Elephas maximus indicus: one gene and its partner. The protein of the gene in region 2 purifies or fractionates together with the protein of the main gene of each other region. This does not show direct contact. Links are inferred from orthologs where the notes say so. Each region holds a gene or a part of one and is shown on either strand. Other genes may lie near its edges.

Region 1 (6,980 bases), on a different chromosome or scaffold from region 2:
CCGGGAGCAAAGGCAAAGGAAGAACACCAAGGTCACACGACAACTAAGAACCCAAGAGACAGAAAGGGCCACTTGAACCAGAGACCTACATTATCCTGAGACCAGAAGAACTAGTTGGTGCCCGGCCACAATCGATGTCTGCCCTGTCAGGGAACACAACAGACAACTCCTGAGGGAGCAGGAGACCCCAAATTCTCATTAAAAGACCACACCTAATGCTATGATTGCGACTAGAGGAATCCCAGAGACAATGCTCCCCAGAACTTCTGATGGCACAGGACAGGAACCATCCCCGAAGACAAATCATCAGGCATGAAAAGGACTGGTCAGTGGGGGGGAGAGAGATACTGATGAAGAGTGAGCTATTTAAATCAGGTGGACACGGGAGAGTGTGTTGGCAACTCTTGACTGGAGGGGGGATGGGAAGATAGAGAGAGAGGGAAGATGGTAAAATTGGCACGAAACGAGAGACTGTAAGGGCTGACTCAATAGGGGGAGAGCAAGTGGGAGAAGGGAGTAAGATGTATGTAAACCTACATGTGACAGACTGATTGGAATGGTAAATGTTCACTTGAAGCTTAATAAAAATTAAAAAAAAAAAAGGAAATGAGATAATCAGATTTGCATAGTAGAAAAATTGGGTTCCCTGCTTGGACCAGACAGAGGCTAGAAAACTAGTTAGAAGACTGTTTCAGTAACTCAGGAAAAAATGATGGTGCACTGGATGGTAGTGGCACTAAGGATGGAGATAAGTAGAGAGATTCTAAAGAGGTAGAATTGGGTGTTAGAGGAGGAGGCAAGGATGATCACCAGTAAGGATGGAGATAAGTAGAGAGATTCTAAAGAGGTTAGAATTGGGTGTTAGAAGAGGAGGCAAGGATGATCACCAGATTTTTGTCCAGGGCAAGTAGGTGAATGATGTTTTTTACTGATTTGGGGAATACAGGAGAAATAGTAAATTTGGGAAAAGGTAATGAGTTTTGTTTTGGATATAACTGAGTTTGAGATACCTGTAAGACATCCAAGTGGGTGTTTCCCATAAGTAGTTAAATTTGACATTTAGAACTCAGAAGAAAGATCTAGGCTGGGTCTGTATGGTAGCTGTAAGTGTATTATATGGTCATTGAAGACATGGCACTGGATAAAATCCATTCATTCAATATATGTTGATTTACCAAATCACACTAAGCATTTAGAAATGGCACATAGAACTGATCTGACTCTACTCTCCACAGACCACCTCTGCCCCTCCTTTGTTTTGCACCTCTGTACCCTTCTCTTGCCCTCTCCTCACCCCTAAAACACTAACTTTACATATGTTACTGAAAAGGTAGTAGTATTTTTTGTAACAGTATTATCATTAGCTTCTAATTCTTTTAAGATTTCTTTTTGCAAATATTGTATTATTACCTTAATATCTGTTACAATTTTAGTGTCTTAAAGACTTTTCTACATGATCCTCTTGTGGAGTGGAGTAAACCAGTGAAAGGGAATTCCAAAGCACATAATGAAACCGGGGAAGTTGTCAATGAAAAGGTTGGTAGAAGGTGTAGCTTGTTTCTACAAATGAGAACTGATTCTAAATTCTGCCAGTGACTAGCCAGTGATTACCCTGAAATCTAGTTATGTGTTATGACAGTGCCCTAATTTTCCTTATTGTCATTACTATTAACATTATTAGCATTTGTGTGACAAAACACTTCATACTTATTTAACCATAAACAATTGACAGTTACGGAAAAACTTGAGTACAAATTGCTTGAATTTATAGAGCAAGTCTCAGCTTCAATATGGTGACACCAAGTATCCCACAATCCACCTTGACAGATGTAGCCCTTCCCTTATTACTAGTGTTAGTCAAAACCTCAAAGTTTGCAGGTAATTAGCTATTTTTAATAAGCTAGACATATATCGAGGATAATTTTTCTAATGTCTCTCCCACTCTTAGATTCTGATAAGCTTTCTCAGTTGAGAGAAATGTGTAGAATTCCAAGTAGCTCACTTAGAACTTCTATGTGCATGAACCAACATAATCTAAATATTAGGCATTAGAGTATCATTGCTATTAGAATATCCATTCAAACGTGTACGTTACATACACTTTCAAAGCAGATTTTTAAAATTATTATTTTTCTAGAATTGTAATGTGGAAGGAATTTCCTGATATTTCACATAGTCCAGAAAAATGTCCAAGCAGTTGATGTTGGATCAACATTGCCAGCCTTGAAAGCAATATCTTAAGTTATTTTGTTTCATTTCTTCCTTTTTCTGTATTTTCCCTAACAAAAGGGGTAGTGATCATTAAAATGGCATTAACATTTCTTACAAAACAATAAAGGCAGCAATTCCAAGTTATTAACATCCATATGTTATTATGCTCTTAGCCCTTATCATTTTCTGTTTCTTCCTTTTAGGCCAAGACCCATGTTCTTGACATTGAGCAGCGATTACAAGGTGTAATCAAGACTCATAACAGAGTGACAGGGCTGCCATTATCTATTGAAGGACATGTGCATTACCTTATACAAGAAGCTACTGACGAAAACTTACTATGCCAAATGTATCTTGGCTGGACCCCTTATATGTGAAATGAAATTATTTCAAAGAATATGTTAGTAATGTAAGATTATTGCATTTGGCACTGGCTGTGGTTGTATCTGTTCAGTTCCAAAGTACAAGATAAGTTTATGTTCTTAGAGCAGCTATTATTATTTCTCCTTGATTGTTAATAATATTTAAAATAATATATGTTCATTTATTAAGAAATAAACTGCTTTCTTAATACATACTGTGTATTTATAACTGGAAAAATGGAACATCATTTGTTCTTACGGTCTAAAAATGTAATTTTGCAAGAAACAAGCCAACCTACTTTGATTTTACAATTTTCATTGATTTCCTTTTAAAAGTACCAATTAGCATAAGGATTCCTTTGAACAACAACAAAAAGCTTCTATCAATAAATACTGTGGGCAAAGCAGTGTGCTAGACTGGTGCACAGAGGAACTGCCCTCCAGGAATTGACAGTCTAGTAAGAGAGAGATGAACATAAATAGCACGTATTTACGTTCACTTACTAGAACTCTGGTTTTGGTATGATTGAAAGTCTGACAGGGAAAAAACATGCTAAGCCAAGAAGCTGAATGTGAAAACTAAAGTTTCTTTGATTTTAAAAATGCTGCCATTCGCTAGGTGTAACAGAATGCAGAGTCCAGTGATTATGGCAGGCAGCAATACTTAAGAGATTTCTAAAATCTAAAGTTTTTAAATATGGTTTTCTGTGTTTTTGAAGATTTAAAAAAAATAATTCATAATTACAAAGTAATGAGATCATTACGTTCCAATAAATGAAAAACTTAAATTTAGAACAAAAATAGTTTCACGTAAATTCACTTGACATAATCCTGCCTTTTGTAAGGTCGGAAGCCTAATCGGGAAAAAACATGGCACCAAGGGGCACGAATGTGAAAACTAAACATTTATAATTTCCTATCGAGGGCCTAGCTGGGAAACTTTTCCTCAAAACAATTTGGGGAACAAGTATTAAAGAAAAAATTTTGTTATAAGTTTACATACCTAAAAGAAAATAATTTTCCTTCGCCAAAGAAACAACAATCTAAACCAAGTAAATCACCAGACCTTTCCAAATCTGTGTTGAAAAACACTGAGATTAGCAATCCCAGGAGCTGGAAGCAGCTGAACAAAAATCAGCGTTCAATACCCTTCCAGCAGTCTCGTGAGGTTTTCATACCACGTATAAACCCGGTGGAGCCTAGCTCCGGCAACTGGCATCTTCAGAACGCTGTTTAACACGCACGTACGGCTCGGCGCCCAAACGTAAGCACCAGCGAGCGCTGCGGCGCGAGTGGAAGGCGGCGGGTCCCGCCCCCGGGATGCCGCCTCGGATCCGGCCGCTCTAGGGCCCGGCGGGCGCGCTCTATGGTCGGGCGGGCGGTGTGTTGTCATCGGCGGAGCGACGGCCGGAGGCGGTGGCGTCGGCCCCGGCGGGGCGTTTGGTTTCGGTTTGGCCCTGACTGGAATTGGTATTGACGGTCGAAATGGGAGTCCCCAAGTTTTACCGATGGATCTCGGAGCGGTATCCCTGCCTCAGCGAAGTGGTGAAAGAGCATCAGGTGGGTGAGCGAGGGGCCGTGGCCCCGAAGGCCGGTGACCGCGGGGGGCTCCGCGGCCCTCTCCCCACCAGCCTTTCTGCCCGCCGTCTGCGGATGAGTGGCGAGGGGAGCGGCGGTGGAAGGTTTGAGGACGGCCGACGGATCCGAATGGGGGCGAAGACGCGGGTGGTATTCGCGTGGGCACTGCCGCGGGGGTCACGGCAGCTTGACAGCTCTCCTGCCGGGCAGGGCCTTCCGCGACTCTGAAATTAAGTCGGGGAAGGAAAGGTTTCAGTGAGTTCGCTTTCTTCCCCGAGGAGGTGCAGGTCGCCCTTTCCTTTATAGGGGTTGCCAGGCGGAGTGGGTGTCCCGCGACATCCCCCCTCCAGCTCTCCCTGCCCGCCTCTAAGAACCGATCAAGTGCAGACAATAAACCGCGCTTCCGCCGTCGGAGCACCTTGTTTACTTCACGCTCCAGAACTCGGTGCCACCGCGCCCCAGCGCCTGGACTTTGACGTGGCCCATCGTTCATGTTTATGATGCCTTTTGTTACTCGTTTTCTGTTGCCCTAAAGACAGTACCAACCCTTTATTGCCAAACAAACAAAAAAACATTTGGGCAGGGAATTATTTAGAGGCTTCATAATGTGTGTGTGTTGGGGGAAGGGGAGAGAGGGAGGCGGGTTGATACAGCTTCACTGCTAGTAATGTCAGTAATATTTGGTACGTGATGACCCCAGGGAAACGTTCATGGTAGATTTCAAAACAGTAGTTCACATATTGGAACTGTGACAAGACAATAGAAGGCAGTCACTTATGAGATAAACTGGCCTTTGGATGATACTTCAGTATTCGACACATTTAATGAATTTTGGTATCGCCTTCGTTTTATATTTTACCGAAAATAGTGTTTTGAAATTTCTGTAGCTGGTTGAATTAGTTGTGATGGATAGCATTATATTAATATTGGGGAAAAATAATGCAGTGAACGACATCGTGCTGTTCATTAAATCATGGTTTATCTTTTTAAAAAGTACTGAAAGCCTGAAGGTAGGGTTAAACTTCTGGAAAGAATTCTTTTTCGGATTCACATCTGATGTATAAGGAAAAATTTACAACGATTCTAAAAGGCAAGCTTATCTTTAGTTTATTTGGAACATAGGTTAAGTTGGATTTACAAAGGCTTTTGTTTCCGGAGAGGAGGGTAAAAAAAGAATACAAGTACATTAGGGAAAATGGAGACAACTAAATATGGCATTTCTGGATCCCTCATTCAACAAACATTTGAGTATCTTCTGTGCATCACTCACTTTATCTCTGATGTGAACAAATAAGCTGTTGCTTGGGATGTCTTGATAATATATAATTCATTACTACTTTTATGCTGTACTCTTCAGCATAAAACTTGGTGCAAGTATCTTGGATTCTCTCAATTCTGAGGAATTTGATAACTGAAGAACAAAAATAGTCTCTTTAAGGCAATTTCATGACATAGACACTATAAAAGCTTTAATGAAGATAGAAACTGGGAGTAGGTTTTATTTTATTTTGTTTAATTTTTAATTATTCCACTGTAAGTAAATTTTAAAACTTGGTTGATCAAAGCAATGTCTTTCAAAGTGTTTGATTCTTGTAGTTAACAACAGCAAAAAAGACAAATGTTATAAAGCGATACCAGCTGCGCTCTCAAGAAGGCCTTGAAAGATAACGCCTTATTTGGCTACAGTGATTCAATAGCTAGTACTAGGGGGAAGAAGTCAGGGGAAGGAGATTTTAGGAAAATAGTGGCAGCAGCATTGGTTTTCAGTCTCTCTGAATCTTCATGTAAAAGCAGAAAGAACAAATAGCAAAATTAAAAGTACATGAAACATTTACAACAAAACCAGTATATCCTGGTGTCCCTGTAAACTCCAAAATACAAATACATAGGGACAAACTAGCAACACCTGTAGGTCTGAATTTTATTAGAATCTGTGTCAGAAAAATAGGGAAGCAGCAATGGGGCAACATCTGATAGATCTGAGAACAGAACTCCAAAATAGCTGAAAGGTGTTCACTGAAAAATACTGCCAGCCAATTTGATGGCAGTAGCTGGAACTAAGGGGTTTTATCCTTTCCAATATTGGTTGACTGAAGGACCCACTGTAAAAAATACCTAGGCAGCTGGAGCAGTGCAGTCCGAACCAAAAAACCAAACCCGTTGCCATCGAGTCATTTCTGACTCATAGCAACCCTATAGGACAGTGTAGGACTGCCCCCTGTAGCGTTTCCAAGGCTGTAATCTTTATGGAAGCCGGCTGCCATATATTCCTACCGCGGATCAGCTGGTGGGTTCTAACCACTGACCTTTTGTTTAGCAGCTGAGGGCTTAACCACTGCACCACTGAACTCTCAAAACTGACTTGCCAAGGCGCTATTTAAGGCAGTGCCCACCTGAGGAAAAACTGCTGGGGTGGAATAAAATGTGATCAGGAAAAGGACAGTGGAGACAAGAAAAGAAAAGGTCCAGACAAAAGTGGGAGAAGGTTAGAATCAGGAAGTCTTAGAAAGCAAAGCATCATTTTTTTAACACTACTCAAGAAGAACAAAAGAGGGAGCTTTTTGACATTAAAGCTTTCCTGAACCCCTCTTCGTTCTAAAAGTTCAGGGAGATTAAATTCTACTCAGTAGGAAACTGTTGTTAGCTGCCGTCGAAACAGCCCTGACACGTGGCGACCCAATGCACAAGATCGGTCCCTTGTGCTCCAGAGGGTTTTCGTTAGCTGACTTTTCAGAAGTAGACCACCAAGCCTTTCTTCCTAATCTTAGCCTGGAAGCTCTGCTGAAACATGTTCAGCATCACAGCAACACACAAAAGTCCATTGACAGG
Region 2 (7,584 bases):
TTTACACAAAATGTCCACAATACGGAGACAGAAAGTAAATTAGTGGCTACCAGGGGTTGCCGGGAAGGGGGATTAGGAGTGGCTACGGATGGGCACAGGGTTTCTTTTGGGGGAGGATATATTCAAAAACTGACTGTAGCTGTACAACACCATGAACGCACTAAAAGCCACTGAACCATACCCTTTAAATAGATGAATTGTATGATACGTGAATTATCACAAGGTGGAACAAGTAGCTTTCCAGGTCTTTGCAGAAGCCCTTACCACATAGTTGGTTCCCTCGCCAACTCCTGAGTACAAGTAGGGAAACCCTTCCCAAATGCTTTAGGCAACCCACACCAACAACTGGCACAAGAGCCAATCAACCTTCCACTCTCCAATTGCACTCACAGACTTCCCTGCCCCCAATTTGGGTCCTCCTCCAACCCACACAGAAGTCACTACCCTTCCCCAAAGACTGAGAGTTAGACTACAGGTAGGCAGGGTCACGTCTGCGTGGATATAAAAAACTTTACATCATCGGGGTTAATTAAATGTCACAAAGGACAAAAACTTTTCATGTCAACAGAACTCCAACGAGCTTGGCTGCAATGTTTACTGCCAGCAGAGCATTTGAATGCTCTCATCATTTTGTACAGCTCAGTGCTCAGGTGCACGAAAATAAATTGATTATTTCAACTGAAAGAAGACACACCCAGCAATTAATCACAGACAGAACTTCAAGCCCATCCCTGAGTTTGCTGTTTCATATCAGCTCCGGTTAAAAAGGGATTTGCAACAAAACGACTGCCTTTCACAACCACCCTCAGGGTCATGGCCCTACTGCTCAACATCATGAACTTTATCCATGGCCTCCCGAGCAAATGCACGGGGCAGAAGGCACAGCCAGCACTACCTGGCCCACTCACACCTGAGTCTAGATGCCAGAGACCTGAAAAGTAACAACTACTATACAACTGCTGCCCCCATTTTATAGCTGCAGAAACTGAGGCTCCCACTCACTCCTCCAGGCAAAACTCTCCCCTCCCCTACCTGCTCACCCAAACATGAACAGGACCAAAAAAATCACACATCTCTGCACACCTGTTCTCCCCGATGTCCCTCCCAACAAACCTATTTCAAGGAATCTGGGGTTAGAATGAGTCAAATATGTTCTGCTGTTCCCGGGAGCTAAAAGAAAGCTTAAGTGGGTGGTTTACCCACGGGAGTGACTCACTGACTAGAAGCCCCCTTTCCTCAGGATGAGGATGCAGTGGCTCCCCCAGGCCTAGCTGCCCATGCTCACCAAGGAAGCACCTGAGACAGGTGAACCTTGAGCTCACCTGTGAAAATCTAGGTAAGTAAACGGAAGGGAGGCTCGGGACACAGGGTATGTACCCGTGAAGGGAAAGGATGGATCAGAAGATGAAGACAATAGCAGCATTCCTGAACCCTGGGAGGGGCACAGGTCCTGGAAGTACCCGCACCTAGTGCTGCTCGCAACCCAAGCCCAAATTCAAAACAGCAAAGTGCCTCACGCTAAATACTGACATCATTAAAAAGAAAAAAAGTTTCTGACGGGGCAGGCCCATTTCAGTAAAACCCACGATGCTATCCCAGTGGAGAACAAAACTCGAACCCTACTTTTCCAAGGCAAGCCTACGGAGTTACATAACAGGTCGGTTTCAGCAACAGGCAACACAAGAAGGAAAAACAAAACGCAACCTGCCTCTTGAATAATCTTAACAGCAAGCCAGTGCAGGGTTCCAGATCAAAGACAAAAAATCCCCTTTTTGCTCCAGGAGCCCAGAATTCCACCTGCGAGCGTCCAGGGCGGGCGGGGGGGGGGGGGATGCAAGCCTCCGGATCGGTGGGTGTGAATGGGGGTGCCCAGGTGGCAGCGGCCACAGGTGGGAGGAGGGAGGCCAACTGGCCAGAGGGAAATGGGGCACATCACCCAGACTTGTTCAGAAGGAAGAAGTACCCAGGTCGGAGAGGACCTGGGGCAGGGCGGAGGAAACCCAGACCCAGGCAGGGGGGACCCTGGGCAGGACCAGGGACCCTGGGACAGACCACCCCAGATCCAGCCAAAGGAGCAGGTCACTCTGGACTCGTTCAGGGGGAGGACGAGGCAGGTGAGAGGTGGGGTCCAGACTCGCTGAAGAGGCCCAGGGCAGGTCGGAGGGAAGGCCCAGGGCAGGTGACCCCAGACCTGTTCAAAGGGGAAACCCTGAACAGGCCAAAGACGGCACCCCAGGCAGGCCACCACGGACCCGTTCAGAGAAGGGGGGCCCCAAGCAGGGCCGGGACTGAGGGCTAGAGACTCAGACTCGTTCGGAGAGGGGAGCCAAACGACACGCTGGAAGGGGGACCCTCGGCATATCGGAAGGGATCTAGACCCTTCCGGGGAAGACCCAGAACAGGGTCGGGACCTGGGGCCGGTGACCAGACCAGTTCGGAGAAGGGACCCTGGGCAGGCCGGGAGTGAGGGGGTGGCAGATCTCTGGCGCCGAGGCCGCCCGCTTCCGGCCCGCCATGCGCCGCTCACCTGCGCGTCGAGCTGTCCGGCCACAGCGCCCGCGCCGCCCGGGCCTCCAGCGCCTCCCGCCCCGGATCCTCCGGGGCCGCCCGGGGGCGTCTGAGTCTGGCTGGGGAGGGTGAAGTCGGTGAATTCGAACTCGGAGCCCTGCGTGTCGGCGCCCAATAGCTCGGCCTCCTCGGTGTCCAGAAAGGTGAGCGTCTGCGAACTGGGCCCGTACGCCTCCACGCTCATGGCGCCGCCGGGGCCGCGGGTCTGGCCGCTCCGCCCGCACTCGAGCCCGCCGCCGCACCGAAACCTAGGCCTCAGACCTCACGCACCGCCAACGCCGCGGCTCGGGCCGAACCGAACGACCGCCGCCTAGACCCGGGCCGAGAACCGCCGCCTCGCCGCCTCTGCCTTGCCCTGCGCCGGCCGCCTGAATCCACCGCCGCGACTGCCGCTCGAGCCCAGCAGGAACCGCCGCCGTCGCCGCCGCCGCCGCCGCCGCCGCCGAGTGCGCGTGCGCGAGCCCGATGCCGGCGCAGATGCGCGTGCGCGAGCTCGACTCTGGCGCAGGCGCGCGCGCCCCTCGCGGACGCCGCCAACCGCGCCCGACGCCCGGAGCTGAACAGGAAGACGGGACGCGCACCGCGCACGCGCGGGGGGGCGGGGCTTTTAACTGTCGTCGCGGCGGCAGCGCGAGGACGTGACCCCGCCCCAACTGCTGCTCAGCGGGATCCCGGCGACCGGTGGTGCCGAGGTGGCGCGCCGCTCCGGAGGCTGTGACGGGTCTGGGAGGCTGGGCACTGGATCGAACGCTCCTGCGCGAGTGGGGACGCCTCCCGTGATCAGGATAAGCTCCTGGGCCTCAGTGTTCCTATCTGTAGAATGGGTCCCTGACTGCATGGGGGTGCCTGGGTCATAGTAGGTGCTCGGTGCGCGCTCGTTGAATACACTAGTTTTCCTACAGCCCTTAGCACTGGGTCTGGCCCACGGAAACAGTGTCAGCTGATACTGCAACTGACTCCTTCACACTTGTTACTCCTATTACTGACATTGGTATTACTCCTATTATTAGTATTATTAACATTACTCCTGACACTATTATTAACTCCTGTTGCTAATACTAACAGCAATACCATTACTACTGACACTGTTATTGGTCCTATTACTACTGCTATTACTATGGTGTTTGCTGCTGCAGCTTACCCCCCTGATAATTGTTACTCCTTTTACTGCTGCTAAACCAAAAAAAAAAAAACAAAACCCGTTGCCGTCAAGTCGATTCTGACTCAGCAACCCTACAGGACACAGTAGAAGTGCCCCATAGGGTTTCCAAGGAGTAGCTGGTGGATTCAAACGGCTGACCTTTTGGTTAGCAGCCGAGCTCATAACCACTGCTCCACCAGGGCTCTTACTGCTTCTTAAAAAAAAAAAAAAAAACGCTTACTGACCTATTATTAATTTCTACTACTACTACTGAGGACTCCCTGGGTGGTGGCTTGAACCCACCCAGAGGCACCTCGGAAGAAATGCCTGGTAATCTGCTTCTGAAAGGTAATGGCCTTCAAAACACCATGGAGCACAGTTCTGCTCTGCACATATGGGGTCATCGTGAGCCAGAATTGACTCAACAGCAACTAACAACAACAACATTACAATTGACACTGCTATTACTCCTATCATTACTACTAGTGCTAATACTATGGTGTTTGCTGCTGCAATTGAGGCCCCTGACGCTACTGTTATTCCCATCACTGCTATTACAGACACTGTTGTTACTCCTATTATCACTAATACTTGACAATGTTGTTGCTGCTACTAGTAATACTATCTTTACTACTGCTACTAACATTAGTGGCACAGTGGTTAAGAGCTTGGCTGCTAGCCAAAAGGTCAACAGTTCGAATCCACTGGCCACTCCTTGGAAACCCTATGGAGCAGTTCTACTCTCTCCTGTAGGGTTGCTATGAGTCAGAATCAACTCAACGGCAATGAGGTTTTTTTTTTTTTTAATTACAACCCCTACCACTACTGACACTATCATTACTCCTATTACTATCATCAACACCCATGGAAGCAGCAGTCAAGAAACTAAAATACACGTTGCATTGGGCAAATCGGCTGTAAAAGACCTCTTTAAAGTGTTAAAAAGCAAAGATGTCACCTTGAAGACTAAGGTGCACCTGACCCAAGCCATGGTGTTTTCAGTTGCCTCATATGCATGCAAAAGCTGGACAATGAATAAGGAAGACTGAAGAAGAACTGACGCCTTTGAATTGTGGTGTTGGCGAAGAATATTGAGTATACCCTGGACTGCCAAAAGAACGAACATGCCTGTCTCGGAAGAAGTGCAGCCAGAATGCTCCTTAGAAGTAAGGATGGCGAGACTACGTCTCACATACTTTGGGCATGTTGTCAAGAGGGATCAGTTCCTGGAGAAAGACATCATGGTTGGTAAAATAGAAAGTCAGCAAAAAAGAGGAAGACCCTCAAGAGGTGGATCAGTAGCTGCAACAGTGGGCTCAAGCATAGCAACAATTGTGAGGATGGCACAGGACCAGGCAGTGTTTCATTGTGTTGTGCACAGGGTCGCTGTGAGTCGGAATCGACTCGACAGCACCTAACAACAACAACATCACTACCACTACTAGCACTGCTACTACTACTGCGGTGTTTGTTGCTGAGACTAAAGTCTCTGACATCATTGTTAATTCCAATTACTACTACTACCTACACTGTTGTTACTCCTGTTATTATTACTACTACTGCTACGTGACACTTTTTACGCCTATTGCTGCTGCTGCTGATACTATTATTACTTCTACTAACATGGCGGTTACAGCTGCAACTAATACCATCGACACTATTGTTATTCCTATTACTACTCCTACCACTACTGTGCTACCACTGACACTATTATTATCCCTATTACTTTGCTTATTACTACTACTGCCGCTTCTGACGATATTATTACTCCCATTATTCATATTCTACTACCACTACTATAGTATTTGTAGCTGCAAGTGACACCCCTGACACTTAATACTCTTATTACTGCTACTACTGATACTATTACCACAACTATTACTGCCGATGCTACTCACCTCTATTACTGCTACTACTACAGCTGGCATTATTATTACTCCTATTATTACTGTTATTGTTGTTGTTATTATTCAGAGGCAGAACATAGCAAAGCACTTGGGAGTACTTGCTCTGGAGTGACCTCTGGGCCTGGCTGTTCCTGGCTGTACAACTGAGTACAAGTGACTTTACCGCTCCAAGCCTGGGGTTTCCTTGGCCACCAAAGGGACATAAGCACCATTAGAATGGTGGCGAGGATTAGCTGAGCTACCATGCACTCTCCTCATTATGAAGTATTTAGGAAGGAAGTTCCATGAGGACAGGGCTTGGCCTTATTCAGAATGGTCTTACCGACGTGGAGAGTAATGCCCGCATACAATAGGTGCTCAGTAAAAGGCTTTCAGAGCTTTTAAGGCCTAGGTCAGCTACAAGTATGGCGACTTGACTCATTTGTAAAGTGACTTGGAGCACCACACTTCCTCTCCTGTCCCCAGATCATGTTGTTGTTAGGAGTCATCGAGTCAGTTCCAACTCAAGCAACCCCATGTATGACAGAATGAAACACTGCCTGGTCCTGCGCTATCCTCATAGTCATTGCTACGCTTGAGCCCATTGTTGCAGCCACTATGTCAATCCATCTCGTTGAAGGTCTTCCTCTTTTTCCCTGACCTTCTACCAAGCATGATGTCCTTCTCCAGGGACTGATCCCTCCTGATAGCATGTCCAAAGTATGTGAGACTTAGTGTCACCATCCTTGCTTCTAAGGAGCATTCTGGTCGTACTTCTTCCAAGACAGATTTGTTTGTTCTTTTGGCAGTCCATTGTATATTCAGTATTCTTCACCAACACCAAAATTCAAAGGCATCAATTCTTCTTCAGTCTTCTTTATTCATTGTCCAGCTTTTGCATGCATATGAGGCAATTGAAAACACCATGGCTTGGGTCAGGTGCACCTTAGCCTTCAAGGTGACATCTTTGCTTTTTAGTGCTTTAAAGAGATCTTTTGCAGCAGATTTGCCCAATGCAATGCATCTTTTGATTCCTTGACTGCCGCTTCCATGGGTGTTGATTGTGAAACCAAGTAAAATGAAATCCTCGACAACTTCAATCTTATCTCAGTTTATCATGATGCTACTTATTGGTCCAGTTGTGAGGATTTTTGTTTCATGTTGAGGTGTAATCCATACTGAAGGCTGGGGTCTTTGATTTTCATCAGTAAGTGCTTCAAGTCCTCTTCACTTTGAGCAAGCAATCTTGTGTTATCTGCATAACGCAGTTTGTTAATGAGTCTTCCTCCAATCCTGATGCTGCATTCTTCTGCGTACAGTCCAGCTTCTTGGATTATTTGCTCAGCATACAGATTGAATAAGTATGGTGAAAGAATGCAGCCCTGACACACTGCTTTCCTGACTTTAATCCACGCAGTATCCCCTTGTTCTGTTCAAACAACTGCCTCTTGATCTATGTACAGGTTCCTCATGAGCACAATTAAGTGTTCTGGAATTCCCATTCTTCGCAATGTTATCCATAATTTTGATCCACACAGTCGAATGCCTTTGCAGAGTCAATAAAACACAGGTAAACATCCTTCCAGTGTTCTCTGCTTTTAGCCAGGATCCATCTGACATCAGCAATGATATCCTTCGTTCCACATCCTCTTCTGAATCTGGCTTGAATTTCTGGCAGTTCCCTGTCGATGTACTGCTGCAGCCGCTTTTGAATGATCGTCAGCAAAATTTTACTTGCATATGATATTAATGGTATTGTTTGATAATTTCTGCATTTGGTTGGATCACCTTTCTTGGGAATAGGCATAAATGTGGATCTCTTCAAGTCGCTTGGCCAGGTCCGACTTCCAAATTTCTTGACAAAGATGAGTGAGCAACACCAGCGCTGCATTTGTTCATTGAAACATCTCAGTTGGTATTCCATCAATCCCTGGCGCCTTGTTTTTCACCAATGCCTTCAGTGCAGCTTGGACTTCTTCCTTCAATACC

What was found. The genes of interacting proteins can lie anywhere in the genome.
Region 1: the proteins of UPF1 (region 2) and XRN1 purify together in Homo sapiens (affinity purification with western blotting; 4 studies listed by BioGRID and IntAct, with this or other methods). This does not show direct contact. The link is inferred for Elephas maximus indicus from reciprocal best matches to the Homo sapiens genes UPF1 and XRN1.

Annotation. Positions count from the first base shown.
Region 1 is NC_064841.1:17,336,265-17,343,244, forward strand, and holds the start of XRN1 (5'-3' exoribonuclease 1), read left to right. Parts: upstream 1-3,966; 5' UTR 3,967-4,058; coding exon 4,059-4,133; intron 4,134-6,980. Other genes in the region: serine/threonine-protein kinase ATR, read left to right, coding at 1,434-1,536, 2,415-2,588. UniProt on the Homo sapiens protein: Major 5'-3' exoribonuclease involved in mRNA decay. Required for the 5'-3'-processing of the G4 tetraplex-containing DNA and RNA substrates. The kinetic of hydrolysis is faster for G4 RNA tetraplex than for G4 DNA tetraplex and monomeric RNA tetraplex.
Region 2 is NC_064821.1:38,707,656-38,715,239, reverse strand, and holds the start of UPF1 (regulator of nonsense transcripts 1), read right to left. Parts: upstream 3,015-7,584; 5' UTR 2,753-3,014; coding exon 2,528-2,752; intron 1-2,527. UniProt on the Homo sapiens protein: RNA-dependent helicase required for nonsense-mediated decay (NMD) of aberrant mRNAs containing premature stop codons and modulates the expression level of normal mRNAs.